2 linked regions of the Diceros bicornis minor genome follow. The protein of the gene in region 1 binds, or shares a complex with, the protein of each later gene. Links are inferred from orthologs where the notes say so. Each region holds a gene or a part of one and is shown on either strand. Other genes may lie near its edges.

Region 1 (15,660 bases):
ACATATCATACACTCCTCTGAGTGAAGTTCACAAAATAGACTTGACCAAAAAAAAAAAAACAGAGCCTGACTCCAATCAAGCCTCTACATCTAACTACCAAATTATGGCAATTTGGGGACAGAGAAACATGTTCAACTAACCACACTGATGTAGCCAGCAAAATCCAAACTGTGGGAAAATATATCACCTAGTTTCTTCAATAATAACCAAAAAATGCATGGAAAAAAGAGGTATAGAGGAAATATACAGATTAAAAAACACATCAGGGCCGGCCCCACGGCTTAGCAGTTGAGTGCACGCGCTCCACTGCCCGGGTTCGGATCCCGGGCGCACACCGACGCACCGCTTCTCCGGCCATGCTGAGGCCGCGTCCCACATACAACAACTAGGAGGATGTGCATCTATGACATACAACTATCTACTGGGGCTTTGGGGGAAAACAATAAATAAATAAAATTTAAAAAACACATCAACCATTTGTAATTTTTGGGGGGATCCTAATTCAAACAAACTGATAAATATGCTTATATATATATATATTATTATATGTATTTTTAAGTGTTAAGACAGACTCAATAAAAAAATTTGTTTTTTCTTGAGATGGATAATAGTATGGTGATTATTTTTTAAAAAAAGAATCCCAATACTAGAGATACATACTAAAATACAGATGAACTGGTATGTCTGGGATTTGCTTCAAGGTCATCAAAGACGCGAGGGGAGAGTGCATAAGAATATAGATGAAACAAGATCAGTCAGGAACTGATAACCATGGAGGGTGGGTGATGAGTAAAGAGGGGCTCATTACACTAAGATCTCTACTATTACATGTACACAAATTTTCCATAGTAAAGTTGTCCTTTTAGTGCAAACAAACAGAAAAGAACACTTGGCCCTCCCTCCCTCACCAGATTAGGTTACTTGGAAGAACAAAGGAGAAATTCTCTATTTAAATGAATGGTTGCTAGGCTTTATCCCTGTACTAAGATAGCTAACCTCTGAGGAGTGCTTTACCTTCCATTTAGTTTTCTTAAAAAAACAGTATAAACTGAATGAGAAAACCTGGACTCTACGATGGTGATGAAACTTGAATGATGTAGTTTTTTTTTACTCTTGTGATTCCATACATATCATCACTCAAATGAAATCCCATCCAAGGTATGGCCACCTTTGGAAAAATGAAGACACAGATGTCTATTAAGAAGAAAAGACGTTCGCGAGAGTGCAAAAGGCAAGGTACCAAACAGGAGGTATTGTATGAGTCCCTTTTTATGAAATTTAAATATACATATAATTTTTATATATATATTTTATATATACACAGGAAGTCTGGAACCCTAATCTTGGATGGTGGGATTGGGGGTGACTGGTTTTGTTGCTTATCTTTATTTCCTAATGTTTTACTATAATTGAATACGTATATCTTACGTAATAAGTAACAAAATGTATGTTTTTATAAGTTTGTACATGTAAAGGGGTCCACTTCACTAATTGGGGAGATCATTAATGTGGAACTTCATATTCCCCAAGGATGATGCTAGAAAGCAGAGCATGAGTCCTCCTTGCGTAATTCCTTAAAATGGGACTGGACAGACTACAGGGTGGCAGCAGGGTGCAGAAGGTTTGTGTTAAAGATAAACCCCCAGGAATACCATTAGGTTCTTACAATTTGTTGTTCAAACCAACTGAAGGTTCATCTATTTATCAAAGAAGATTCCCTTCCTATGGAAGTGAATTACAATCGCAGGTAAGTCAAGTGATTAACCAGACAGTCTAGAAATCTGGGTTTTACCCCCCATCAAGTTCCAATCTGGTATGTGATTTTGCCAGCTTCACCAGTCTCTTCAGAAAGGACAATGGGGTTCAGTGATGTTGAGAATCACACTGAGAATTCAGTGCGGGTTTAGAAATTCTCAGGGAAATAAGTCATTGCTTACCTGCAACAACCTGGCCCCCACACAATTTGACCCTGACGCCCTCTCGCACCTGAATGCCTAGCACTCTCCCTCAGCTGCAGCCACCCTGGCCTCCTTGCCTCAAAACAGGTTGTCCTGCTCCCATCTCAGGGCCTTTGCACTTGCTGCTCTGGCCCTTCAGAACATCCTTTCCCCCAGATATCTACATGGTTAACCACTCACTTCCTTCAGATCTCTGCTTAAAGGAACCAGATTAAAGACTTTTCCCCGATTCCCGATCCCTACCTGAGTGCTCCCTTATCCCCTTTACCCTGTTCTCTTGTTGTTGTCATTTTATTTCTTTTTTTCTATTGTGGTAAAATATACATATATAACATAGAATTTACCATTTTAACCATTTTTAAGTGTATAATTCAGTGCCATTAAGTACATTCACCACGCTGTGCAAAATGAAACTCTGTACCCATTAAACAAATTCCCCATTCCCCCACCCCTAACCCCTGGCAATCACCATTCTACTTTTTGTCTCTGTGAACTTGACTGCTCTAGAGACCCCATATAAGTGGAATCATGTATTACTTATCCTTTTGTATCTGGCTTATTTCACTTAGCCTAATGTTTTCAAGCTTGATCCATGTTGCAGCACATATCAGAATCTCATTCCTTTTTAAGGCTGAATAATATTCTATTGTATCGATATTCACATTTTGTTTATCCATTCACGTGTTGATGGACATTGGGATTGTTTCCACCTTTTGCCTACTGTGAATAATGCTGCTATGAACATGAGTGTACAAATACTTGTTCAAGTCCCTGCTTTCAATTCTTTGGGGTACATACCCAGAAGTGGAATTGCCAGATCATCTGGTAATTCTACATTTAATTTTTTGAGGCTCCACCATAGAGTTTTCCATAGTGGCTGCACCATTATACATTCCCATCGCCAGTGCAGAAGGGTTCCAATTTTGCCACATCCTCACCAACACTTGTTATTTTCTGTTCCCCCTTACTCTGCTTTATTCATCTCCATAGTACTTACTACCTGTCATACCATAATACTTGCTTATTTATATTGGCTGCCTCCCACAACTGGGATATAAGCCTCTTGAGAGCAGGTCTTTCACCAATGTAGCCCCAGCACCTAGAACACACCCTGGCACATAGCGAGTGCTCAAGAAACTTTTGAATGAAGGAATAAACACTTGGATCATAACTTTAACAGGTATTAGAACTTCTTGAATAGATTTATCACGCCAAATGCCTTAAAGTATGTCTAGTTTAGGGAAGAATCCGGATCTAGTTCAACATAAGGACTAGCTCAATAGGTGATGGTTTCAGTGCTTTTTTCACTTCATCCTCATCAGCAATAACCTCAGAATCACAGACACCATGACAATTGGTAGGAATCACAGAAATTATGTCATTCATGTCACTGACTTCAAGCCTTAATTGATTTCACCAAAAGAGCCATGCAAAAACTTAAAACAGCAAAAGTGAACTAAAAATCACATGTACTTCCAGTTAATATAGAGCCTGCAAATGCAATGCATTTTATTTTAAAAGATCAAGCCAACAGCCAACAAGATGGGACAGTGGCCTTGTGTGGACTCCTTAATTAGATGTATCCAAGGACAGCTTGACCTAGAAACCTAACTCCAGCCCAACCTTTTTTTTTTTTTCCTGTTGTTCATATTTGGTGTTTGTTGTTTCATTTTGGTTTGTTTTTTAAGAGCTGCTTGTAAAGAAATCAGAGTTTCCATGAGAACATTATAAATGAGCTAAAAAGCCATGTGATTTTTTTCTCTGGAAGTAAGCTGGTTGTATACCATTGGATTAGAAGTTTCTTTTCTCTCTCTCTAATATCCTAGTCTTCTTCAGTTGAAAATACTTTTAGGAAAAAGGCAACAGATCCATCTTGTTGAGTTCATCTATTTCTTTTCCTCTAAGCAACCATTCCATCTCTCATTCCTAAAGTGAAGATGCCAATTCCCTCCAAATGGCAACCACTCTGTTGAAATGGATGATACCATTGTCAACCTCAAACAACTTTCACGGGTCTCAAAGTGGAGGCCAGTAGTAATTCATTTACAGCATGAAGAACTTTCCCTGTCCGATAAGAAGGAAATTTTGATAGGATAGTCTGTTTTGATTTGAATTATTCAAAGAACAGATTGTACTTTCAACTCACACACACGAAAGAAAGAAATGAAAAAGAAAAGCGTTCTGCACAAGTGGCCACAAAGCAAACTGAAGGATATATGAAAAGATAACATTTCACAGTTCAGACTCACTGTAATTTAAACTTTCGAATTATTCAGATGGAGAAACGCCTCATTCTTTCAACCTGCTCAGATGCCTTGATGTAGATGATCAAGATGGATTTCAGGTATGAGATGAATCTAATGCTGAACTTAATGTTCCTTGTGGTTTGGTTTGGTTTCTTTTACTCTCCTCATTCAGACTTTCAGCATACAGCTTTCCAAAACAAACTCAGTACAACACCTAACACCTCCTCAAACATCCACACTCTTTCATCCCTATGTCAGAGCAAAATTATTTCCTTCTTACATCAAGATAAGTATTGTTCATGCATCATTGGTGGGACATAAGCAAGAGTTATTTCATCAACAGCAATAAGTTTACCATTTTTCCTAGCTTCTCCCTCACCATTTCCCACCCCCCAACTTAGATGCATCTGTGGGACACAGGACAGGAGAGCCCCACAGCCTGGGGTTATACCTTGCTTCCACTGTGTACTAGCTACTGGGTAAGAGATTTCACTCTTTGCACCTCAGTTTCTTCACCTGTACCTGACTCACAGGGTTTCCATGATATATGGCTCTAGATCTGACTTACAAGTCCTTAATGTGTCAGTATTATTATTTTTAGCAACCAGTTGGAGAAGAGTCTGTGGAACAGTCTCTCCTTGGCTACAGCTTACTGAGAGGAGGGGAACTGAACCCAATCCTTGGCCTTTTGAGTGCCCATGGAGCCATGGGAGTCAATAGAACTCCAAGAAGGAACCAGACCTCATACATTCAAATGCTTCCCACTCCACCAGCACTCCTGAGGATCTTATCAACAGGAAACAAAAGGACTATACTACTATAATGAAGTGTCTGACTCTCATTTTTTAATTAGAAAAGCCCAAACATTGTAGCCCAGGGAACAGCTAAATATTTAGAATGTTTAAGAAGTTACCAAGGCCCAGTCCCTCACCCGTTACCCTGTTGTTTACCCTGTTCCTAACCATTTCGGAAGAAAAAACTTTTGATGACCAAATCTGCAGCAATGGGGATGTACGAGCACCCGTTAAAACCTCCCTTTCTTGCAGTGCAGTCTGACCATTTTGGGGAAAAAAATAGGAGCTGCTTGTGTTCACAGAAAATGCTGCCCTCAGGTCATATCCCACTACAGGTACCTAAACAACAGGGACCTATCAGATTCCTTGACATCCAAGTGGCTTCAAGTCAAGGGCTGGATGCTACTAACTTATGCTTGAAGAACTGACTTCCCTTTCTAAAGTTCTAATTCTTTCAATTAACCAGCAATCACTTTCATTTCTTGCAATCCAACCTACTCTGATTAAACACACATTGACAGTAAGAAAAAAGAAAGTGACTATTTTTGAAAGAGAGAGGCAGTTAATTTTTGCTTACATATCTTGGCAGATGAAATGCACTGCATCCTTCAGAATTTAAATCATCAACATGCTGCCTGGCAAGTTCAATTCTCAGGCCACCAATGGGCATCCTTTTTATTTAATGGCTTTTTTCCCCTCCTCTCATAAATCTTCACTCTGCTTCAATTCCGAGCCATGGCCAAAAGTGCAAGGTAGGACTGCCCCTTGGATCTCCTCTGCTCCCAAAAGCCCTCACCAAAGGCAGTGACAAATTTTGGAGACTGAACCATTGAGTTTCCTTTTCCTTCCTACTCCCCATCTCCATGGCTCTTTAGAGAGCACTTAAAGTAGGCTTAGGACAAAAACTCATTATTGACTACAGCACTCAGGCTTCCACACTCACCTGACCCAGGTCAGGCACTCTGCTGCCAAAACACGCCAAGCCAGGGGTGCGAATCCTGCTCCTCTGTAATCAGCTCCTAAGTATTTAGAAAGAAAGACTATGAGACCGCGAAGGTTCCCTAATAGAAATGCTCCAAATTCCATGCTTCCACCTTCTTTAGCCTCCTTCCTGGAGAAGCCTTCCCCCTAAATTTGACAGGCAGGTGGGTCGGATCACTTGGGCAAAGATTACAGGTAACTTCGCTTCCTTATTTCCAGCATGTAACTGACAAGTGAGACGAGGCACGCACAAACTTCGAACGTGCCGGGGAGCTGGAACTAAGGGAAGTCTTTGGCAGATCCCAAAGCACTTATTTCCCGGAGCGGAGGCCAAGTATCCGAAGCCCGCATCCTCACTGGGCGTGAGCTTCGTCCACACTTCATCCCTCACCGCTCCCCGGGTTTTCTTCCGTTTTTTTAAAACCGTCCCCACTGGGGCCCCCACACATGCATTATTTTCCCAACCATGCAGCTCGAGGGAGGGCTACATTTTAAGAAAGACTGTTTCCTTGAACGGACTCACATATGACACCCCCACAATCTCCCCCCCCAAAAAAAAACTATTTCCTGCAGTTGCTGCAAGTTTCCAACTTGAGGGAATGCCATTCCAGTCTAGAATGGGTAGCCCTCAAAGCCAATCACTGGAGTCGAGAATTTTTTTACCTGAAATGAACCCCCCCCAAATGCCCACAGTAAAAGAACCCCCAAATGCATGCAAGTGCATGCAAATCCACCAAGAACTCCCAGAGAGTGGGGCAAAAACTTCTGCGCCCGGGGGTGCAGTACCAACTCCCCGCGCCCTCTGCCCAGCCCCAGCCGCTACCTTGGTGCCCGGGGAGCCACGCCGGTTTGGGGGAGCAGGGCGAGGAGAGGGGTTAGCAGCCGCTCGGTAATCCCATGTCGGCGAAGAGGGAGCTCGTTCCGTTAGGATGGAAGCGGAACACCCACACCTCCTCTCGGCGTGCGCTTTCTCTCTCTCCACCCTCTGCCTCTCCCTCCTCCTCCTCCTCCTCCACCACCACCTCCTCCTCCTTTCCTCCCACCCCAGCAAGACTGAGGAAACGCTTCAGCAGCACATCCACATGCTTACTGCACTTTGAAGCCGCTCCTCGCTGCTTATATAGGCCGGGAAGCTCCCTGGGCAATGTAGTCCAAGTCTGAGGTCGTGGCGGCGCCTGGGGCTGCAGGGGAGGACTACAAGTCCCAGAATCCCCTGGGCTCCCGGGCTGGGCTCTAAATAGACGGCTCGCGGGGATGAAGGAGGGGCGTCGCGCGGGGCGTCTGGGCTTCAAACCCGCGTCTTCAGGGGTAGCTGGCCTGGCTTGGAGCCCGTGATCGAAAGCCACCCCTGGGGGGCGCCCCCAGCCTCTGGGGACGCTCCTCCTCTGGCTGCCCCTTTTCCTTTGAATCCAGGTATCACTGGGAGCGAGGGGCAGGGAGGAGCTCGGATTTGTGCTTTGGGAAGTTTTTACAAGCTGTACCCACCCTCCCCCCGCCTTGAGTCCCGGAGCCAAGAATTTCAGAAATCCAGGGCACAAAAACGCCAGTGTTTGCGGTCAAGGATTAAAGGCGCGAGGTTGTCTTTATTTAATCTGCTCTGCCTTGCTCTGGTTTGCACAGAAAACTAAGTGTGGGAGCGACGGTCCACGCAAGCGGGGACACAGGCAAGTGGCTTGAGAACACTTTTCTGTATCCGAACTCCGTGCGTCCTTCTTCGCCCCGCAGGAGGTAAAGAAACGCAAGCCTCTCCGGTGCACAGATAAAGGAGCCGTGTTGTTACTTGCCAGCGCTGAGATTGGGAGACAGAAAATAAATAGAGACCGCGACCTCGGTCCTGACCCTGCTTCAAGCAGCCCCTCTGCTCCCGGGAGCTGTAAATGCTTAAGTAAATAAACCGCAAACCAGAAAAACAAGGGCTTCGGAGAGAGCCGCTTACACAAAGATGCGTGTCCAAACGGGGGGGCCCTCCAGCAGCTCCGACAGGAGCTTCAGGGACTGAAGGTGGGTTCAGCTCACTGCTAACTAGTGCCTGGGCTCTCGGGCTACAAGCTGCTTCAGGCTCTTGTTTTTGGAAGGAGAGCGAGAGCTAAGCTCCGAGGCCAAGTCAGCCGGCTGCCCTCCCTGCCTCAGATGATGTGCATTCATTCCACAAACGTTTCCTAAGTGTCTACTGGATGCCAAGCACTATGCCAGGCTCTGGGCCACAGTGGTGAGCCAAAACCCAGCACAGCATGTCAGGCAGGCACTGCCTGACTCTGCGTAGGATCTGCTATAACAACAATAGTAATAACGGTAACTGGGGAGGCTGATTTTATTAAGCCCAGACCACATACATTTTTCATGCTATTGAGTTTTAACCACCCTAGGCATATTTATTATCCTTGTTTGACAGGTGAACAGCTGAGGGCTCAGAGCAATCGGGTAACTTCTGGAGATGACACCGTGAATTAAGTGGTGCAGCCTGGATTCTAATTCCAGCCTATGAGTGTTCTAAACCCTTGTCTTTGGGGAAACCCATTGCCACTGCCTTAAATGGCCTCCCTCCCCATTTTAGGAGTGGCCTCTGAGCCCTTGGGCAAGTCATTTTCATCTCGTTGCCCCAGTTTTGCCATTGTAGAGGGAGACAATCAGGAGCATTTGTCTCCTGTCATCCTACTTGCTATCAGGATTGCCTGTGAAACTTCAGGAGCAAATGAGGGGCGCACCACAGCTAATAATTATTACTGATGTAATAATTAGTGCCAAAACTAATAATAATTATGTTTATGGGGTACACACCACGTGCCAGCCGTTATCCTAAGCTCTTAATGTACATTATCTCATCAAATCCTATAACGAACCATTTTTTTACTTATGAGAAAACTGAGGCACAGAGAGGTTAAGTAACTTCCCATAGTCGCACAGGATGCTGGGCTGCCTGACTCCCGAACTCTGGACCTTAACTACTACCCTCCCTTCCGCTGCTTCCCCAGTGTCAATGTATGCATTGTATTTATTTGCTCATATAAGCATTTAATACCAGTCCAGGAATGAGCAAAGCTGTGAAGTAGACAAAGTTTGTGTTCATTCTGTTCACTCTTGCCCCTCTTCTCTTCAGCATTATCCCCTAGTCACAGGGCACTAGAGCCTTCTACCTAATGCCTCAAGCTACCACTCCCCATCATCAAGAAATTTCCCCATCCTGTCACAACAAAGGAGTCCACACCTTTCCCAGCTGTCCCCTCTCTTCTTTTCCCTCATGAAAACAATCTGTTCCACTTCTAAAGGGTTTTTGGCTCTACTTTTCAAACAAATTCAACAACTAAGTCTATGCCAATATAACTGGTAAATACTAAAGGGTAATTATTTCACTTGCTCCTAATTCAGAAAAACAATGGAATTTTAACGTGTGTTTTCTGAAGAAAACTTGGTCCTGTTTGAGAGCTGGAGTTTGGTGATTTTCGTCTTCACCATGCAGTGGACACTTGACCCTTAACTGTTTTAGCCACTGTCTTCCCTCCCAGACCACAAGTTTCATTGAAGGCAGGAACTATGTTTTATTCATGCTTGTAGTTCCTACCTGCCCCAGCCCAGCAGGCCCTAGACTTCTGTGTGCACATTTTAATAGATACATAAAAAAAAATTTGTTAGAAAAAAGTGTTTTAATAGAAGGTGTGTCAGGCATATGGCAGGCTAGATGAACATATTTTTTGAGCACACAAGCCTTATAACCCAATCGCATAATAGACTGTTTCTTCCACGTATGTGTGTTAATGGTCCTATTCAACATTTTGCAACTGGCACCACGTTCTGGAAGCTACTGGGTCACTAGAAAGTAGTTTTGCTAAATTTGCTATGAGGCTAAGAGGTTCTCTATGATGATGTATGATTGATGATTGATGATGAAGTATATCATAATAAAAGGGCCACTACTGGGGCCGGCCCAGTGGTGCAGCGGTTAAGTTTGTGTGCTCCACTACGACGGCCCAGAGTTTGCAGGTTCAAATCCAGGGTGTGGACCCACACACCACTTATCAAGCCATGCTGTGGCGGTGTCCCATATAAAGTAGAGGAAGCTGGGCACGGATGTTAGCCCAGGGCCAATCTTCCTCAGCCAAAAGAGGAGATTGGCAACAGATGTTAGCTCAGGGCTAATCTTCCTCACACACAAAAAAGAAAAGCCACTACCCAACTCATTCTCCATTATCAATAGAGGGAAGGGGGCTTCTTTTTCTTCACTGTATTTCTTTTCCTGGAAGAATTTTCTAGACCTGTGCTTTCCAATACAGTAGCCACTAGCCATTTAGGCACTTAAGATGTAGCTAGCTCTAACTAGGATGTGAAGCAGGTATAAAATACATTTTGAATTTCAAAGACTTAGTACAAAAAAAATCAAAATATCTCATGAATAATTTTTATATTGATCACATGTTGAAATGATAATATTTTGGATATATTGAATTAAAATATATTATTAAATTAATTTCATTTGCTTCTTTTTACTCATTTAATGTACTACTACGATATTAAAAATTACATGTGTGGCTCATATTACATGCTGTTGGACAGCACTAGTCTAGAAAACCAAGAATCTGATTCTCGAGATCCAATTCAAGATGACAACTAGCCCTGAAAATTGCCATTTATGACTTTGCCCTTGAAATGCCTATGCAGGGAATTAGGAGGGCTTTGCAGAGTCAGGATAGTATCATAGACTAAGCAGAATTCTGAAGAACGTCCAAAACTAGCACACCAGCCTACCCCCCAGGGAAACCCTACAAATAGAAACAGGTTTTCATCAGCAGTATACAGCTGAAAACTGCAACTGAATTAATCTGCCTAGAATCCCACCCTCAAATGCTGTCCTGATTAAGACAGCAAGATATGCTGGAGAAAGCAGGGATCAGAAAATGTGGGTTTGACACCCAGCTGCAACCTTAATATCTATGTAACCGTGGCCGGTCATCTAACCTTACAGAGGCTGTTTTTTGATAGAGCAAAGCGAATAATCCTTGCCCTGCCAACCTGACCAGATCAAATGAGTCATTGGACATGAAACGACTTTGCAAGCTTACCCTAGTTATACCAAAGTGAGAGAACATCACCAACAAGCATGGAGAAAACGTTGATATGTCATGGTCTAGTACTCAGCTCCAGACCAAACTTCAGATTATTGGGGCAGCGCTAGTCCCAATTTTCTCCTGGGTAAAAGATTTTAATTACCTATGAATGTCACAATGAGCCTTGACTACTTTAATTGACAGCTTCTCCAAATCACTCTTAAGTGGCAAGACAGAATGACCAACACTGAAGTCAGAGAATTCAATCTATTTTTTGGTGTGATGTGTTTCCTATATATGCCCTGGAACATGAGAACTATCAGTAAAGAGAAATAGCTACTGTGTAGCCAGTTTCCAACTAGTCGCTCTTGGTCATTGTGAACTTTTTGTGGTGGAGGGAGGGAATCATAGCCCACTGAGAATCTTATAAAACCTATGGACATTTGCCCCAGCACAACACAGATACTCACAATTTTAGCACCAGTTCTTGGAATTTCTTGTACCAACCTCCCAAAACTTGTTCATAGACACTCCTGAAAGACTAGAATATCTTTTAGCTGAATTCTGTGAGTCTGTCTCTTCAACCAGATAAACTCTTTGAGGAGTTCTATATTTGTGTACGCTTTGTAGCATTTAGCTCCGCTCTGGGTAGAGAGTAGATGCACAGCATTTACTGGCTAATTCACCCTTGGAACCCCAAGGGTGGCCAGAAGAAATGACCCACAGTCTCATAGCAGCCCTACTTGAGATGGAAAAGTGCAGGTGGTGTTTGGACAAGAGCAGGAGAGACACCAGTGTGGTGTAGAGCTAGGAAAAGTAAAATGTTTTTCCTGAGCTGAGGCTCTGGGCATCCTGGGAGGCTAAGAGAAGGCATGAACAGGGAGAGGCCTTATGTTCGTTGTCCTATCTCTGGAGTTTAGAAGAGACTGCTGGTCAGTAACCTTGCACGTGGAGGGAACATGGGCAAATTGTCAAGGATTTAAGATCCAGAAGGCAGCATGTTAGCTACAGAAGAATGCAAAAATTAAGCAGTTACTACCAGTTTATACCATATGGAAGTGACAGCTACACTATCTCTAATGATTGCTGCCAACATTGTCTAGAACCATGTAAGCAAATAAAGAGCACTATTACTTTCTTACACATTATCTTCCTGTGAAACAGGCAGAACCAGGGGTGTATTATCAACTCAGACATTTTCCCCAGTTTCCTGCCTCACATCTGCAAGACTGTCATCTTAAATTGCTCTGGTAGCTGAGCTAGATGTGAGGATTTGAAGAAACCTTGGGAAAGGCCTCATTATCTTATCCTAGTGTTTGAACTGAAAGGAAATCTGTTTATCAACAGAAAAACAGAAAGCTCTTCTTTACAGAAGAATTCAGCTAATACATGTAGAAGGAATAATAAAATTAGAAAATCACCATATTGCAGCTTCCAGTGTAATAATTTATTTAGACAAAAGTATCAATAGACGCCAAATCCCCTGGGCAAAAGGTTGATGGGGAACAAGATATTCATCACCCCGCACATTACCCACTAATTATGAAGTGGAAAACAGACCTATACAATGAAGAAATATGGCAATCGCCCACAATAACCAAGTGATCAAATTTACCATCAACAATCCTGGAACAATCAGACACTATTTGCATCCTGATATGATTCTATAAGAAGTACACAACATCACATATGAAATATTCTTGCCAAAAATGTTTGAGGAAACAATCAAACAAACCCAGAATTTGGGGCATTCCACAAGACCATTGGCCTGGACTCTTCAAATAGATCAGTGTCATGAAAAAAAAATGGCAGGAGGACTATCTAGATTTAAAAAGACTAAAACAAACATTACAAGTAAATGCAACATGTGACCCTTTATTGGATCCAGGATTGAAAGAAATTAAAAATAAATCTCTAGAAGACATTGTTCAGCAATTAGAAAAATTTGGATCTAGACTATAAAAGAAAATTGTGGCATTACTAATACTTAGGTGTGATTATGGTATTGTAGTTATGTAGGAGAATACCCTTGTCCTTAGATGTTCCCTAAAGTAGGGTCTTTTCAAGTCAACCAGAAAAGCAAATGGAATTATACATGAGAAAACGGAAGTGGGAAACTTGAGAATTTTTATAGGCTTCATTTTCTGTTTCTCCTAGGAAAGTTATTTAATCATCAATAGAGCTAGTCACTAAACCAGGCACTGGATTCTACTTAATTCAGTTACTGATCAAGTAGAACTGGTAACTTTTTCACTTCTCATGCTATATCAGTTTGTCCAGTCTCAAGCAAAGTAACTGCTTCCTTTTGTTCCCACTTAATTCTGTTCCCAGATTTAAAGTAGTTTTCCCTCTAAATGTAGTTTTAGGATATGAGTAACCTGTATCATGAGTTCAACCCAGATGGAGAGTTTGAGGTTAATCCTTCATGAAACAGATCAGTTAAGTAGGGTCTGCCAGGGAAGTGGGGTTGGAGGGGTGGGGAGTAGGGTAGAGGGATCTATACAGGACCATTTTTTGGTTGCTTAGTGCCTGGCTGTCAATATTACACTGATATTTAATGGGTAACTACATATTCTGCCAGGCACTCTGTGCTGGGCACTGGGGAGAATGGCAAAGAGTAGAAGGAGTAGAATGCAATGTGCTTTTGCTGTCTGCCTTTTTCTTAATCACTACCTTCCTTCCAGAGAATTTCAAATGTGGTGTTTAGATGGTAACAAATAGGAAGATTGGCTGCTTTTTAATCATAGTTTGTAGTCCTCAGCTGGTCTTTCATTCCGTTTCCTTCATTGTTTCTTCTTTCCAGTAATTTCTTGCAGCTCTAACAGCTGTGACCTAGGAAATAACCTAGATGCTGCCCAGGTCCTCTGGTATTCCTTAATTACTTCACCACGATCCAGGCACCTGACGGTTCACACTGGAATGTTTCTCCATTAAAGATACACGTTATCAAAATGATCCTTTGTCATTAAAACATTTATATTGAATATAATATAGCAAATGAAGGAGGGAAGTAGCTTCTTCTGAGTAGTTTCTCTACTCAACTTTCCCTCAAACAAGCTCTTTATTTACATTTATAACTGTGCTACCTCTTAGGAGGAAAAGAAGGAGGAAACAGAAAGTGCATCTATTATAAAGGCAGTCTAAGTCTCACTCAACACCTGAAATACCATGCAGAGACAGATGAAATTAGCTATCCCTGGAGAAAATGAGCGATTCTGTAAAGATCAGTGTTCATTAGAGAAAAAAATTAAATAAGCGTATAGTACTCTTATGATCAAAAATAAATGAAACTATTTAAAAGAGAAAGATTATTATTTCCAAAAGAATCTCACTCATGGGAAAAGCAAGGTCTTTCTAAATTTCTGAATATATTGTTTTATACCTGAATGAGAAAACATTATAATAAGGCTCAATAAAAAGATTTCCATGTAGCTAACAAGTAAACCTGGTCTTCCCAAAAAAATGTTTCAGGTAAGAATTTGCTAATTGTTTTTAACTTGTGCATTATTGAATGATCATTTGATCTTCAGAAAAAGCAAAATGTTTAAGTTCATCTGCTTTGGAAAAGTTCACTTAGTTCAAGAAGTAGGATTAAAAGCTTCTGTTAGAGGGCCGGCCCCGTGGCTTAGCGGTTAAGCGTGCACGCTCCGCTACTGGATCCCGGGCGTGCGCCGAGACACCGCTTCTCCGGCTATGCTGAGGCCACGTCCCACATGCAGCAACTAGGAGGATGTGCAACTATGACATACAACTATCTACTGGGGCTTTGGGGGAAAAAAACAGGAGGAGGATTGGCAATAGATGTTAGCTCAGAGCCAGTCTTCCTCAGCAAACAAAAAGAGGAGGATTAGCATGGATGTTAGCTCAGGGCTGATCTTCCTCACACGCACAAAGAAAAGCTGCTATTACAAAATCTATGTATTGTTTATTGCCCTTGCTTTAAAAAAAGAAGAAAAAGAAGAGTGTGTACAGGCTCAACCCAAATCAGTATTAGAAATTAGGTTCTCAGATTAAATTAGCCTTTATTTCTCTTCCACTTCAATTATTTTCAGCACATTATCACATGGGAAGAGGCACCAATATTAAAAAGAAAATGAAAAAAAAGACTACTTATAATGGTAACCTACTTTGGAACAATGTTTCAAAGCAATGGAGTGGCACTTGTTAAAGTGTCAATCCATACTACCGAGTAAAGGAACAAGAGAAACTTTTCATGTGTTTCATGAAATAACTCTTAATCAGCAAGGAATTAAAGTTTGATCAATTGTAGCCATTAAATTATAAATCTTATTTTGTGTCACAATCTCATTTAAAATGTAGTAGAAGCAGAAAAATCTTAGGGAAATGAGGAAACAGTAGAGTTTACCTTAAAAGTCTATTTTATGGGGAAAGAAATCATGGATTTCTATCATTCCCCTGTAGAGAAGAAGCCTGTTCAGGAAGTGTAGGAAACTTTTTGCTCGTAGGATGGGACACCCTGATAAAGATGTGTATTTGGCAAATGCTGGCATCCATAGAGCACACAATAGCAAAGAGAGTTGGCAGATTTGGGTGGAATTTAGAATGCACGAGTGGCTTTCAGAATAATTTCCGAAGCTATGTCCTTTGATTCTTTGGGCTCTCCAGTTCCTCCCACAGTGC
Region 2 (14,761 bases), on another chromosome or scaffold:
CAGGGCCCGGGGCCAGCCATGGATCCTCCTCGGCATAGCTTCCCCGCCCCGGCCCTGGGGGAGCAGGACTTGCGGTAGCCAGGCCAAGAGCGCCTGGAATCCGTTTACGAGGCCCCGGGGGCCGTGTGCGTCTGTGCATGGGAGTCTTCTGGTGTGTCTCTGCAGGTCCCCGTGTTCCAGCCTCGTGCCCTGGGGAGGGAGGGAGGGGGGAAGCCTGCTCTGTGAGCCCCGCATGGCTGCGTCTTCTTGGAACCCTGACAGTGCTGGCTTCCAGGCAGGATGGCTGGGGCCCACACCATGGGGAGAACAGGGTCCCCTCTGAAATGTGAGGAGGTTGGGGCCCTGTCCACAGACTTCCAGGGGCCTGGGCTGGCAAGCCAGACTCGGGGACCAGCCTTAAGGAGAAGGGAGAGAGTGAACTGGGCTCACAGGGCAGCCGCACCCCGCTGTCAGCTACTCCACTGCTCTGTGCCGGTCAGTAAAGGCCGTCACTCTCGGCCCCCGCGGTGCCCACTCGCCCACTACCCTGTCCCCTCAAACTTGCCCACAGTCCACTCCAGGGCCACGGGTTCCCCCTGCCCACAGGGGCCTCCAGGACCCGGCTTGCTGTCTGTCCATTCTCACTGATCGGTGCCAGATGCCATCCCCCACCTGGAGGCGTCATTTCATTTAGGCTTCCCTATGACCCCTTAAGCCTCGCTCTCCCCATTTTCCTGATGGAAAACAGGCCTAGGCAAGGGAAGTGACTTGCCCAAGGTCACCCGGCTAGCGAGCAGCAGAACTGTGATTCACATCCGGGCCAGCCTGGCTGTTTCTCAATACAACTCACAGGCTCCCCGGGAAGGTACGTGGGTGCCGAGCATGTGCGTGTGGACCTTATGTACATGTTCGAGGGTGTACTGCATGTGTGCGAAAGGGCAGCGTCTGTGTGGCTAAGGCTGCAGAGAGCGTGTGCACGCCCTACACACGTAATGGTGCGTGTGTGCGGATTTGGGTGGGAGTGGGTGCCTGCCCTGGGTCCAGCGAGTGGCTGTGAGCTCCGGGTGTGTGTCAGGGTGCGTGTGAGCGTGCGTGCGGGAGACGGAGTGTATCTGAGCAAGGCTGTTTGCGCGTGTGCAAGAGCCACGCAGGCCCTGGAAGAGAGCAGCCCTGGGTCCTCGGATGATTTTACAGCCGTTTATTGTGCTCCAGTGAAATAGAAAAAGAAAGTGCTCGCGTCACAAACGCCGCTGTCACATCCACGTACGCCAGTCGCTGAAACCAAACCGCGTGTGTCCGCTGGGTCTCTGGGCATGCAGTTGGCTCCCACTGCGGGAATGGGGCGGGGGCAGGCCGAGCCTGGGCTCTGGGGGCTTCGCTTGGGGGGCTTCTCGTCCTGGGGGGACCCACCTGTGAGGGAGTGGGGGGACAGCCGGAGTAGCTTTGCTCAGTGCGTCCTTTGGGTGCTGTTGGGAACACCCGGCTCGATGGTGGACCCTGTGGAGGGCGCTCCAGGGAGGAGGGCCCCTCCCCCCGCACAGACCCCCCAGGCTGCTCCCCCCAACGCTAACCCTGTGGCAGGTGCCAGCGGGCTGGAGGGCGCCATGCAGGGGGAGGGTTTGGCGGGGCCGGGCGGGGCCCTGCCGAGAGCAGCAGCCAGCCTCCCCGGGGAAGGCAGGGAGGCCCGGGCCTAGGCAGAGTTGTAGTAATTGTGCAGGTGGTGGTTCGGGGCCGGCTCATCCAGCTCCGGGTACTCGGGCGTCAGGCAGTACTTGGGGTCGTAGACCTGGCGCGGCAGCCCGTACACGGTCATGCCCCGCTGCGAGGCCCCCTTGTTGCTGCCCATCTGCAGGCTGACGTTGAGCGTGTCGCAGTGCTCCATGCCCAGCCCCGGCTCGAAGATCTGCCGCTTGGTCCCCGGCGCGGTCATGCCCGCCTGCGGGGGGCAGCGTGGTCAGGCCGTGGGGATGGCCAGGGCCACGGGCCCCGCCAGCCCGCCCCGCAGCCCCCCACACACCTGGCTGGCTCCCTTGTTGGTGCCCATCTGCAGGCTGATGGTGGCCTGGTCCAGGGGCTGGTCCGTGCCCAGCTTGGGGTCGTAGAGGTGGCGCCGGGTGCCATAGGCGGTCATGCCCTGCTGGCTGGCAAACTTGTTGGTGCCCATCTAGGGAGCCAGAGGAGAACCACCCGGGGTTACAGAGCCTCACCAAGAGCCACGAGATATACCAATGTCTGGGGACACCTACATGGCCCTGTTTCCACCCTTGGGCTACAGGCTGGAAACAGGCCCAGAGAGGGTGTGTCACACCACCAGTAAGTGGCTCTGAGCACCAGGGCCTGACTTCCAGGGTTCAAGTCCCAGCCCGGCTACTCATCACCTGGTCGATCCTGGCGAGAGAGCTAGCTTCTCCGGGCCTCAGTTTCCGCATCTTTATAAAGGGTATGATCGTAACAGTCCCACCCCCCCCACCCAGAAATGCGGGAGGAGTGAGGCAGCACAGCGGCTGGCATATAGCTTAGTTAATGCCAAATATCGTGTCGCCAAAAGCCCTCAGGGACCAGGGGGCCCTCCCGGCCTCCTCCACCTCCCCCTCAGCTCAGCAGCGTGGGCCGGGCGCGGAAGGGGCGGCACCTGCAGCCCGATGATGTTCCGCCCTTCTCGGAGCTTCTCCGGCTCAAATTTCCGCTCCTGCTTCTCTGCGTACTTTACGCCCACGTTCACCTTGTTCCCTTTCGTCTTGGCCTGGGGAGGGCGAGGGGGTGGGGACTGACGAGGGAGCCTCTGGGCCGCATCGTCCCCTCAAGACCCTTTGCAGCACCCACTCTCCCCCCACCCACGCTGGGCCCTGGGCACGAGCGGCCCCACTCCCCTCCCGGCCCAGACCGCCCGCGGCCCCTGCCCGGCGCCCACCCTCCCCCACTCACCATGCTGGCCAGGGCCAGGAGCGTGGACTGCACCTGGGTGTGGTTGGTGTTCTCAAACAGGTCGTTGGCCTCGAAGATGTCGTGGGGCTTCACCCCGTACTTGGTGATGGCCTTGATGAAGTTGCCGATGTTCTCCAGCTGGAGGGGAGCAGGCGGCAGTCAGTGTGTGGGGGGACATGGTGGAGGTCTGAGGGCCAGGGGTTCAAAGAGTTAAAAAAGAGCCTGGACTCACCTGGTGCCAATTTTGGGTCGACTCATTGACTTTCTTCACGGAGCCCGGCTGGAGTTTATTGATGAACCTACGAGGAGTGGGGGAGGAGAGTGAGAAAGGGACCCCTGTGCTCCCTACCCATGCCCAGCCCAGGCGCGGGACAAGGGCTCAGGATGACAGCCGGTGGGCGATACCCATTTTGCTATTTCCCACTGCCGTCAGCTCTCAGCCGCAGCCCACCCATCCACCGCACACACAGGCAGGACCGAGATGGGAAGCCAACCCCAGGACCAGACTCAGGTCTCGGGGCAGAAAGGCTCTCATCCAGGGTATGTAGGGGTCTCCTGCGGTGCCCCCGCCTCGCTGGCGACCACGGTTCAGCCTCCTTTTCCCTCTTGGACCTCTGCACCGTGGAGAGCCCGCAGCTCAGGCCTGAGACTTCCCTGCCACCCTCACCCCCATGACCTCATCCAGGCTCTTGACTTGAAATGCCTTTGGTACCCCAAGGACTCCCCGCCCCGGACTGCTGACACCCACCTCTCCCCACAGAGCTCCCTCCATCCCCACCTCCAGCTCAGGAAACCCACCCACCCTTCGAGGTGCCCAGGCAAAGCCCTCAAACTTGCTCCTGGCTCTCCTCTCCCTTTCTCACCCCACACCCAGTCCCTCAGCCAGTGCTCTGGCTCTGCCTCCTGAAGACTTCCAGAAGCCCACGGCTGGCTCCTCGCCACCTCCAGCCTGCTCTGAGCCCCCAGCGTCTCTCTCCTGGGCTCTTGAAGTGGCCTCCCTGTGGGCTCCCGGCTTCCACCTCGTCCCCTACAAACCCTTCTTCATCTCGCAGCTAAAATGGCCTTTTCAAAACAAGTAACTTCCCAGGTCAGAACTCTCCTATGGTTTCCCACTGCCTTCAGAATAAAAGCCTAATTGTTAGCATGATTAAAAGGCCCCACCTCATCTGGCCCCCTCCACTTCCCCTACCTCACTCGGTGCCGGCCACGCTGGCCTCCTCGCTGTCCCATGAACATACCAGGCATGCTCCCACCTCAGGGCCTTTGCACTGGCTGGCCCCCCTGCCTGGTCCACTCTTCCCTCAGATGCCCTCCCAGCTCCCTCCCTCACTTCATCCAAGATTCTGCTCACATGTTACCTTTCTAGACCATTCTATACAAGCAGCAACCCTTCACCCCACTCGGCCCTCCCATCCTCCCCAGCTCCTCTTCTCCGTGTCCCTTCCCACCCCAGGCAGGTATGTGACTGTTTCATCGATTATCTGATCCACTTCCCGCACTAGGACTAAAGCTGTGTGTTCGATACCCCCAGTGCCTAAAACTGGCACACAGCAGGAGCTCGTAAATGCTTGTTTGGAGGACTGAGTGGGTGGCTGGCTCTGCCCTCTTCAAGGCCGGAGCAGCCTTGTCTGAGCTGGGACACCAGGGCGTCCCCTATTCCTTGTTCCCATTGGATGTGGTAGAATAAGACATACCCCCTCTCGCTCCAACTTTCCAGCACCTAGGGTTTGGCAAGGCCACGCCTTCTGCAAGCTTCCCAGGGCACACTCTGGCCCGCAGGTCACCCTGCCCTGGGTCAGACTCTGGAATCGGAGCTTGGGAGCTGTGAGGGTTTACGTCTCCCTCCGTGATTTACGTTCTGAGAGGAGTAGAAAGTCGAGACCTACTTCAGTTACCATGGCACGTCCCTCATGTCACCAGCGAGCGATGGACAGCCACTGTTGCCCATTGCTTTGTAGCCGTGACCTCCCTTTCTTGGGACCCTGGAGGCCATGATTGGGCCTGCCCTGTCTGTGTGGTGATTCACATTCTAGATCTGGAGTTATTTCCACTGGAACAGCACGGGACTTGGGCGATGGGTTTTACCTAATTGGGCCTCAGTTTTCTTTCCTGTCAAATGGGCACAATGATTATTTGCCACCTCTGAAGACTGTTTCCAGGTCTCAGATATGAAGTGCCCAACCCAGCTCTGAGCTCATGGTCATTGGAGGGGTTGAGGGGGTAGAGATGAGTGCCCAGGTTGAGGGGCAGGCCAGGGCAGTCTGCCCCACTCACTCGCAAAGAATGATGCCATCTTTGAGGCCGTCCATGAAGTTGTTGCCAATGCGGCGTCCTGTCACCCCCTCGATCCACTCTCGAAGTTCCTGCTCCCGCTGGTGGTCATACTTCTGGGCCAGCTGGTGGATGGGGGGTGCATAGAGAGGGTGGTGAGGACACAGTGGGGAGCAGGCTTGGCTCCCCGGGCCCAATCCGCGGCTCCCTAGGGCCTGTTCCTCATCCCTTCCCAACTAAGGCAATTCTGCCCCAGCGTCCATGGGGGGGGCCCAGGGCTGAGGTGGCACCTGCCCAGGGGGCCATTCCGGGCATTCTGAGGTTTGGCACCAGAGACTGAGGACGAGGGGGGTGGAAAGCGGGACACTTAGAGCTGGGAGGTGGCGCCTGGCCTCCCGGTTCCCCCTCCAGGCCAAACTTGGGGCTTACTTGCCCTGGCCCTGCCCCCTCCACCCCCCTGCCGGACGCCTCAGGCAGAGGAGGAGGAGACCTAAGGAGGCGCCCTTGAATGTCGCCTTGCAGGGGACAGCTCTGTCTTGCATCTCTGTCTGTGTCAGCGTCTCTCCAGGTCCTCATCTCCCGGCCTCGGCCTCGGGCTCTGGCTGGGGGTGGGGGCTTATGTCTTCCTCCTGGCCGCTTGCGTCTGTATTTCTGCGTCTCTCTCCCCAGCTCTGTCTGTCTTTCCTTGGCCCTGCCTTCCGTCCCCATCCCTCCGCGTCTGGCCGGGGGTGGGCGCAGGCTCGTCCATCTCTGCCTCTGTAGGTCTGTCTCCGTCCCCGACTCCAGGTTCCCTGCCTCGGGTGGGGGTGGGGCTCGTCTGTCGCCCCTCGCTGCCTCTCCATCCCTGTCTCAGTCTTATCTGGCTCCTGGCTGGCCCTCCCCCATCCGTCTCTCTCCTGTCTCCGGCTCCCAGAATCTCTGTCTGCGTCTCTCCCCCTCCCTCCCCTCCCCTCCCCTCCCCACTTCGTCCCCCTCCGTTTCTCCAGAACCCTCCTCCCCAGCCCAGACAGGCTCCCGGCCCCTGGGGAACCGGGCTGCCCCTTCTTCTGGGGGAGGGGGTGGTGGGAGGGGGCGGCCCCCTCACCTGGCCCGGGCCCTGCCGCCCCCTCCCGACCAGCCCGGCTTTATAAAGCAAACCGGCCCTTATATAGCGCGGCCCCGCGGGCCGGGCTCCCCGAGGCCGCCTTATATGGCGCGGCGGCTCCGCTCGGCTCTGGGGCCGGCGCTGGGGGGGAAGGGGGGGCGGCGCGGCGATCTGTCTCCGGCCCGAGCACCCGCCCCCCACCTGCCCCCTCCGCCAGCCCCGAGGGTCCCCCGACTCAGGTTCTGATCCCAGCTCCCCACCTCCTCGCTGTGGGACCCTGGGAAAAGCCACCCTGAGCCTCAGTGTTCCCCTCTGTCAAATGGGGCTGGTGCTTCATCTCTGTCAGCGCTCAGGGGAGCATTCCAGCGGGTTGGGGACTTCAAGTGGGCTGCCCTGGAGAAGCTGACCCCATTCTGGTGTGTGGGGGGGCGAGTCCAGGGTCCCAGCTCTGCACCTACCACATGTAGGACCCTAATTACTTGCCTCCCCTCTCTAAACCTCAGTTTACCCATCCATAGCATGAAGGTGGTGTCCCAGTGTCTTCCAAACTCCAAAATTAGGAGACCCCTGTCGTGTCCTGCTCTCTGCCCTCCCCAACTGTCTCCCTCTCCCTTCACAATCTCCCACACTTTCTGAGCCTTGCCTCGCAGGAACCCCAGCTCTCCAAGACTCCCCAATTTCTTTGTCAGGCTAGGGGGGTGGAGAATCAAGTCCATCCCCAGCCCCCTAGGAACACAAAGGGTTAACAGGGGCCTCTGATCAAGTGGGGTCTTCAAAATGGACCGACCACCTCAGTTGACCTGTGGCTGCCTGCATGCCCCTCATTGTACCCCCTAACAGTAGCTGAGGGCTCTGGGATGCTCAGGAGGGGGAGGAAGGCAGCCCCAACCCCACACTTGTCCCTCTTCCCTCTCAGGTTCCAGGCCACAGGGGATAGGCAGGAGGGCCCCAGGAATCCCAAGAGCAGGGCCTCTGGCCTGGCAGGGCATGTGGCCCCAGCCCTACCTTGTTCTTGACCTCAGCAGACAGCCCGTAGGCGGGGCCTCGGTTGAAGTGAGCAGAGGACATGCTGGCCGGTGGTGGGCAGCGGTGGCAGTGGCGCTGAGGACCTCGGCAGCGGCTGGGGCTCCGTCTGCACCCTCTTCCCTCCTCACAAGTTTTTGAAGCTCTGGAGGCGGCCCGGGCCTCTTCCAGGGCCGTCCCATTGGCCACAGGGGCCTGCCAAGGGGCGGGGCGCCCCCCCACCTCGGCCACCCCCCTCTGATGTCAGGGCCTTGGTATTGGGAGCTGATTGTGTCATTGTTTCCACCTAGGGGGGCGGCCTGGGTTATTCTTTTGGGGGGGGGGCTTGGCCAGACAGAGACCAACCTTTCCCCACTCCCCCCGCACCCCCTACTGTTCACTGGGCCTCTGGCTGGGTCTCCAAGTCTCTTTGTGTCTCTCTCTGGCCATCTCGCCATGTCTCTGAGGTCATCTTTCTCCAGTCTTGCGGCAGGACTGCCCCCCGTGGTGGTGTAGCCAGCACCAGCCTGAGTTTAACTCAAGACACCAACCATCTATCACTGTAGGCAAGTCCCTTCCCCTCTCTGAGCCTCTGTTGGCACATCTGTAAAATGGACTCATGATACTGCCCGTCTCCTGAGGGTGTTAGGAGGGTCAGAAGAAATAATGCCTCCCATATCCAGTGCCTGGCACAGGGCAGGACTCAGGGAATAGCAGTATTTCTGCTCGGAATCTGGCACCCCACTTCTGTCCCCTCCAGCCCCTCATAAGGACCTGAGGGAGCAGAGATCCTGGATCTCACCCTCTCCGTCCACCTGTGGGTTGCCTGAGTCGCAGGGTGACTGCGTTAGCAGCTTGCAGGCCATGGACACCCCCCGATGTCCCTGTCCCAGCCACACTGGCCTGGAGGAAACCCCCACAAGCAGCCCTGCCCGGCCAGATCTCACCCCTGGAGCACAGGGGTGGATGACATGCCCGCATCATGCACATATGTCAAGGCCATGTTAGTGACACTCGGTGACATATCAGCAACCTGCCATACACTCATATGTTAAGGACACACAGTTTGTGGGCCACATGCTTAGGGCACAGCTTTCATATGCTAATATGACAGCAGCCCTATGTCGGTCCCTGTTCCAGGCATTACATATATCAGTCCAATCCTCACAACACCCTCAGAAGCGGACACAGTTAATATACAAACTTTACAGATGGGAAAACTGAGGCACGGGGCTGTGGATTGCTTTCCCAGTATCACACAGCTCACCAGGGGCAGAGCAGAATTGGAACCCAGGCCTGTGCCCCTAATGCTCTGAGGCTAAGGCAGGGTTTCTCAACGTCGGGGTTGGATAATTCTTCGTGGTGGGGGGCTGTCCTGGGCATTGTAGGAATTTAAGCAGCATCCCCAGCCTCTACCTACTAAATGCCAGTAGCACCCCCAACTTAGTCTTGACAAACAGAAGTACCTCCAGATATTGCCAAGTGTCCCCGGGGGCCAGAGGGCCAGGGAAGGAGGGCAGATCTCCCCCATTTGAGAACGACTGCGCTAAGGCAACTAAGGACAAGTTGATGGTGTAAAATATGTTGAAAATACACTAAAATACATAAAATGAGCTAACCATTAGCTCCTGCTCTGTACTAAGTGCTTTGGATCTGTTAACTCATTCCTCACAACAGCCTATGAAGTGAGGTCGAAATGAGGCACAGAGGGGTGAAGCCGACTGCCCAGAGTCACAGAGCGCGACGGTGGCGGAGCCAGGATTCGAACGCACGAATTCCGGGCTCCTGCCCACGCTAAGCGGCCCTCGGCGGCCCAAGGTCGCTACTGCGCATGTGCAGACTGGCGCCCCGCGGCCGGCGCCCCCTGGCGGCCCAGGAGGGGCGGGGCGGGGGCGGGGCCTGGCGGGGGTCCCGGCGGCAGTGACGTCACGCGCTGACTCACTCGGCCCCGCCCCCGGCCGCGCCGCTTGGCCATTTATAGAATCCGCGCGGGCTCTGAAGTCACGGCCCAGGCACGACGCGGGCGGGGCGGGGAGCTCTTGGCGGCCCCCGACGGGGCAGCCCGGGGTCTCCCTGGAGGGCAGCCCTTTCTGGGTGTGCGTCTCTATCTCTGGCTGTTTCTGGGTCGTTCTCTGTCCGTCTGTCTGTGTCACCAGGCTTTTTCTGTCCCAGCCTTTGTCTCTCTGAATCTGCCTGTCTCACTGTCTCTCTCTTTGTCCCCATGTCTCTTCTCTCCGTTATCTCTCCATCTCTGTGTCTCTGTTTCTGTTTCACGTCTCTGAGTCACCGTTTTTCTCTCTCGATGTCTCTGTACTGTTTCTGTCTCCGTGTCTCTGTCTGGTAGATGGGGGTAAAGGCGGAGAGAGGGGGCTGATGCCATCGAGGTCCCCACCCCAGGGAACGCCCCCATCACTGGCTGTCTGGGGTGCAGTCCCCTACTCAGCTCCTATGTGACGTTTCCCTGGCCCCAGCCCCTCGGTGCCTCAGTTTCCCATCTGAATGAGTGAGATCTTGCAAGGAACAGGACTGTCAGGAAAGAAAGACTGTCCCTGCCTCTCCTCATCCTTGGGAGACCCCTAAAACCTTCCTGACTCCCAGAACACACACAGAAACACACACAACTCTGTACCTGTGTGTCCCCAGCAGGGAGTGCCAGCCCCCGTCCCCCTGTGCCTGCCTATCTTAGCAGCCCCGCCCTGCCAGCCCCCTCCTCACTTATCTTTCTCCTCCCCAAAACAGGCAGAGGCTGTTGTTCATAAACGTTTCAAAGTTGTTTCTGGAAGGCTCTCTCCATGCCAGGCACAATCTCATTTAATCCTCACCACTGCACTCTGGGGGTGGAAACTCTTAGGCCCATTTTATAGATAAGGAAACTCAAGGATCAGAGAGGCCGGGCCATTCTCTCAGGGTGACGCTGCTCTTGCTGCTCCCAGATTCTTCAACATGTTTCTTGAATGCTCAAGCACGCTTCTACCTCAGGACCTTTGCACTGGCAGTCCCTTCTGCCTAGACACATTTCTGCAAGATGTCTGCCTGGCCTTTCCCTCCCTTTCTCTGCTCAAATAACAGCATCCTCCACCCCCAGACTGACTGTGAGAGAATGGGCATGCGGGAGCTGTTCACTTAAGAGTTTGCACCTCACAGTGGGTATGTCTCCCTCCATAAAAACTTTCATTTTAAAAGCCCCTATATGCCTATTATCTGTCTTATCCTTCGAGAACAGAAACTCCACGAGGCAGGGCTTTGCCTGTTTGGTTCACTGCTGTATCCCCACTGCCCAGTACAGTGCCTGCACACAGCAAGCGCTCAAAAAATGTTCACTGAGTCAATGGAATAAGAGTGGGTGAGCCAGGACTCAAACCCACGTCTCTCTGAAATGTTGATGCTTAATTCCGCACAAAGGAAGGACATAATTCCCCAGCACCTCCTGGACTGAGGGCAGTTGAGGTGGGGGTCCCCATTGTGTTTCCATTCCCACCCTCCCCAGAAGAACAATTGGAGGGTGGAGAAGGGGTTGGGTCACAGGCTGTGGCTGGGGTTATTCCAGGCCATTCTACAGCTGCCCACTCCCTTGTCCAGCCTTGAGCTTTGCAAGAAGGTGCTTTATAGGAAAAACATCTAGTTGAACAAGAGCTTTTTAAAAAGAGTGGACAGATGACTTCCAGATCGGCAAAAATCAGAACATCTGACGACACAGTGCTGGGGAGGCTGTGGGAGCATTGTTGATGGGTGTGGGCAATTTGTCCATAGCTTTAAATGACAAATGTCCCTACCTTTTCTCCTGGTTAATTTTATGTGTCAACTTGATTGGGGTACGGGATGCCCAGATATTTGGTCAATTATTCTAGATGTGTCTGTGAGGGTGTTTTTGAATGAGATAACATACTCATAAAGGTAGACTGAGTAAAACAGATTGTCCTCCCCAATGTGGGTGGGTCGTATCCAATCAGTTGAAGGCCTGAATAGGACAAAAAGGCTGACCCTCCATTGAGTAGAGGGAATTCCTGCCTGACTGCCTTGAGCTGGGACATCAGTCTTTTCCTGCCTTCAGACTGGAACTTAAACAACAACTTTTCTTGGGTCTCCAGCGTGCCAGCTCTTGGACTGGAACTTACACCGTTGGCTATCCCGGTTCTCAGGCCTTCACACTCCGACTGGAACTCCATCACCTGCTCTCCTGGGTCTCCAACTTGCCAACTATCGATCTTGGACTTCTCAGCTTCCATAATCACATGAGCCAGTTCCTTGTAATAAATTAATCTCTTTCTCTCTCTCCCTCTCTCCATATATATATTCTATTGGTTCCATTCCTCTGGAGAACCTGTCTATCTAATACACCTTCTGAACCAGCAAATCTCTTTAGAATATTCCTAAGAAGTACACGTGTAATTCTGAAGAATGACATGTGCAAGAACATTTATTGCAGCGGCCTTTTAATAACAAGTCACCGTACAGATCCATCAACAGGGAACAAGTGAGAAAGACAAAGATGAAGGCAGAATATGCAGCCCTTTGTTTCAATTAAATAAAGGCACTGTGGTGCTGAGGTTAAGAGTGGGGGCTCCGGATCCATATTCCATGGGACTATGCCCTGGTGCTTCCTGGCTGTGTGACCTTGGACAAGTGTCTTAACCTCTCTGTGCCTCAGTTGCCTCGTCTAGAAAAATGGGCATATCAATAGTGCCTGCTTCCCAGGTTTCTTTGTTTTTAACTTTTTATTTTGAGATAATTTTTAGACTTACAGAAAAGTTGCAAAAATAGCAGAGAGAATTCCCATATACCCTGTTGCCCCTACTGTAAACATCTTACATAACCATAGTACATTTATCAAATCAAGAAATTAACTTTGGGACACTACTATTAATAAACTACAGACTGGATCTGGATTTCTCCAGCTTTTCTACTCATGTCTTTTTTCTGTCCCAGGACCCAATCCAAGATCCCTCATTGCATTTAGTTGACATGGTTCCTTACTCCTCTAGTCTGTGACAGTCCCTCAGTTTTACATGCCTTGACATTTTTGAAGAGTAAAAGTCAGTAATTTTGTCAACTGCCTCTCAATTTGGTTTGTCTTGATTGGATTGAGGTTTTGGCCTTCCTGGGAAGGATACCAGAGAGGTGATGTTGCCTTCTCATATCAGGGGCTTATGATGTCACTGTGATGTCACTATGACTCATTGCTGGTGATGTTAACCTTGGCCTCTTGCTTAAGGTGTCGTCTGCCAGGATCCTCCACTGTGAAGCTGCTCTTTTTCCTAGGATTGTTTTGAGGATTGTGTGCTAAAAGGTTTACATCAGGGCTTCACACATACTTTTGTGTTCGGTTAAATTAAAAAAAGAAAAAAGTAAATACGTGTGTTTGAATCCACTACTTCTGCAAGAGGAAAATAGAGGCCGTGACTGCCCCCAAGAGGGGATACTGGGGACTCTGACGGTGGCAGCCAGGTCAGCGACCCCACCACCTGCCACACACGCTGCAGCTGAGCAGAGCGAAATGCGCCTGCGCGTAGCTGGCACGCCGGGCAGAGGGCGGTAGCGCGCCCAGCCGCTGCCCACGGTGGCTGTCAACATTCTGGGGAGGGGTGCGCAAGCCCTCCTGGACCGGCCGCTGATTGGCTGCGGCGCCTCTCAGATCGGCCAATCACAGGAATCTTGCTGAGGCAGATGTGCTGCGGCTGCGCAGAGCCGTTGAGGTATCCTAAGGGAGCTGCGTGTGTCTTTCTGTCCGCGTGCAGGCGCCGTGCGTCATGGAGGCCAAGGGGCTGCAGAAATGGCTTTATGGGGGCGGATAACCATCCTCGCCTGGCGCTCTGCTACTGCCAAGCACCAGTTTTATGTGCTAATCCACTTAGGTTATTAACAGCCTAAAACCGGGGCTTTCTGGGGGAGCCCATGAGCCCCGCCTTCCGCTGTGACCTAATCTCTTATCACATTCCCCTCAATTCACTCCACTCTAGCCACACAGGGCCTTCGCAGTTGCTCCTTGTGCCAAAGTGTTCCCCGAACTTCCAGAGGCTTCACTCACCTCCTTGACACAAAGGTCACCTGCTCAGTGAGATCTTCCTGGAATAGCTGATTTCAAACTGTAAACCCCTCTAGCACCTCCTCCCTTTCTCTGCTTCATTTCTGTCTACATTACTCATCTCTTTGTAAGGAGACTTTTAAAAATATTGTGGTGAAATATATAACATAAAATGCACCATTTTTAAATGTACAGTTCTGTGGTATTAAGAACATTCACGTTGCTGTGTAACCATCACCATCATCCGTCTTCAGAACTTTTTTCATTTTCCAAGACTGAAATTCCGTCCCCATTAAACACTAACCCCCCATCCCCCTCCCCCAGCACCCGGCACCCACCATTCTACTTTCTGTCTCTATGAATGTGATTCCTCTAGGGACCTCATGTAAGTGGAATCATATAGTGTTTGTCTTTTTGTGACTGGTTTATTTCATTTAGCACAACGTCCTCAATCCATGCTGTAGGCTGTATCAGAATTTCCTTCCTCTTTAAGGCTGCATAATATTCCATTGTATGTCTATACCACATTTTATTTACCTGTTCATCTGTCGACAGACACTTCAGTTGCTTTGGCTATTGTGAATCCAACTGCTATAAACATGGTGTGGACCTATCTGTTCGAGTCCCTGATTTCAGTTCTCTTGGGTATCTACCCAGAAGTGGAATTGCTGAATCATATGGTAACTCCATTTTTAATTTCTTGAGGAATGCCGTGCTGTTTTCTACAGTGGCTGAACCAGTTTACATTCCCACGAGCAATGTACAAGAGTTCCACTTTCTTCACATCCTCGCTAATAATTGTTAGATTCTATTTTGTTGATAATGGCCATCCTAATGGAAGCAGAGTGTTTAAATAGACTTTTAAAGTATATCATACATATAGACGAGTGTACAAATTATAGCTCAATGAATCCATGATAACTTTTAAAAACTTTTAAATTGAGATATTACTCAAATGCACAAATCTCAATGGAGAGCTCAACGAATTTTTACATACATATAGCCACGTAATCGTCATGCAGTTCAAGCTATAAAATATTTCTTTTTAAAAAATTCTTAGGGCCGGCCCCGTGGCTTAGGGGTTAAGTGTGCGCGCTCCGCTGCTGGCGGCCCTGGTTCGGATCCCGGGCGCGCACCGACGCACCGCTTCTCCGGCCATGCTGAGGCCACGTCCCACATACAGCAACTGGAAGGATGTGCAGCTATGACATACAACTATCTACTGGGGCTATGGGGAAAAAAAAAGGAGGAGGATTGGCAATAGATGTTAGCTCAGAGCCGGTCTTCCTCAGCAAAAGGAGGAGGATTAGCATGGATGTTAGCTCAGGGCTGATCTTCCTCACAAAAAAATAAATAAATAAACAAAAAATAAATGAATAAAAAATTCTTAATCTATTGGTTAATATCAACCATTTTGTTAACCACATGTAGCATTTTACATTTCTTTTTTTTTTTTCCCAAAGCCCCAGTAGATAGTT

The links.
Region 2: ITPR1 (region 1) and CNN1 share a complex: the UniProt entries of both Homo sapiens proteins name them as parts of the cGMP kinase signaling complex. The link is inferred for Diceros bicornis minor from reciprocal best matches to the Homo sapiens genes ITPR1 and CNN1.

The regions. Positions count from the first base shown.
Region 1 is NC_080741.1:75,254,298-75,269,957, forward strand, and holds the start of ITPR1 (inositol 1,4,5-trisphosphate receptor type 1), read right to left. Parts: upstream 6,945-15,660; 5' UTR 6,804-6,944; intron 6,019-6,803; 5' UTR 5,943-6,018; intron 1-5,942. UniProt on the Homo sapiens protein: Inositol 1,4,5-trisphosphate-gated calcium channel that, upon inositol 1,4,5-trisphosphate binding, mediates calcium release from the endoplasmic reticulum (ER).
Region 2 is NC_080769.1:7,986,396-8,001,156, forward strand, and holds CNN1 (calponin-1), read right to left. Parts: upstream 7,397-14,761; 5' UTR 7,328-7,396; coding exon 7,265-7,327; intron 5,301-7,264; coding exon 5,179-5,300; intron 3,204-5,178; coding exon 3,137-3,203; intron 3,043-3,136; coding exon 2,905-3,042; intron 2,723-2,904; coding exon 2,612-2,722; intron 2,144-2,611; coding exon 1,997-2,143; intron 1,916-1,996; coding exon 1,670-1,915; 3' UTR 1,163-1,669; downstream 1-1,162. UniProt on the Homo sapiens protein: Thin filament-associated protein that is implicated in the regulation and modulation of smooth muscle contraction. It is capable of binding to actin, calmodulin and tropomyosin. The interaction of calponin with actin inhibits the actomyosin Mg-ATPase activity.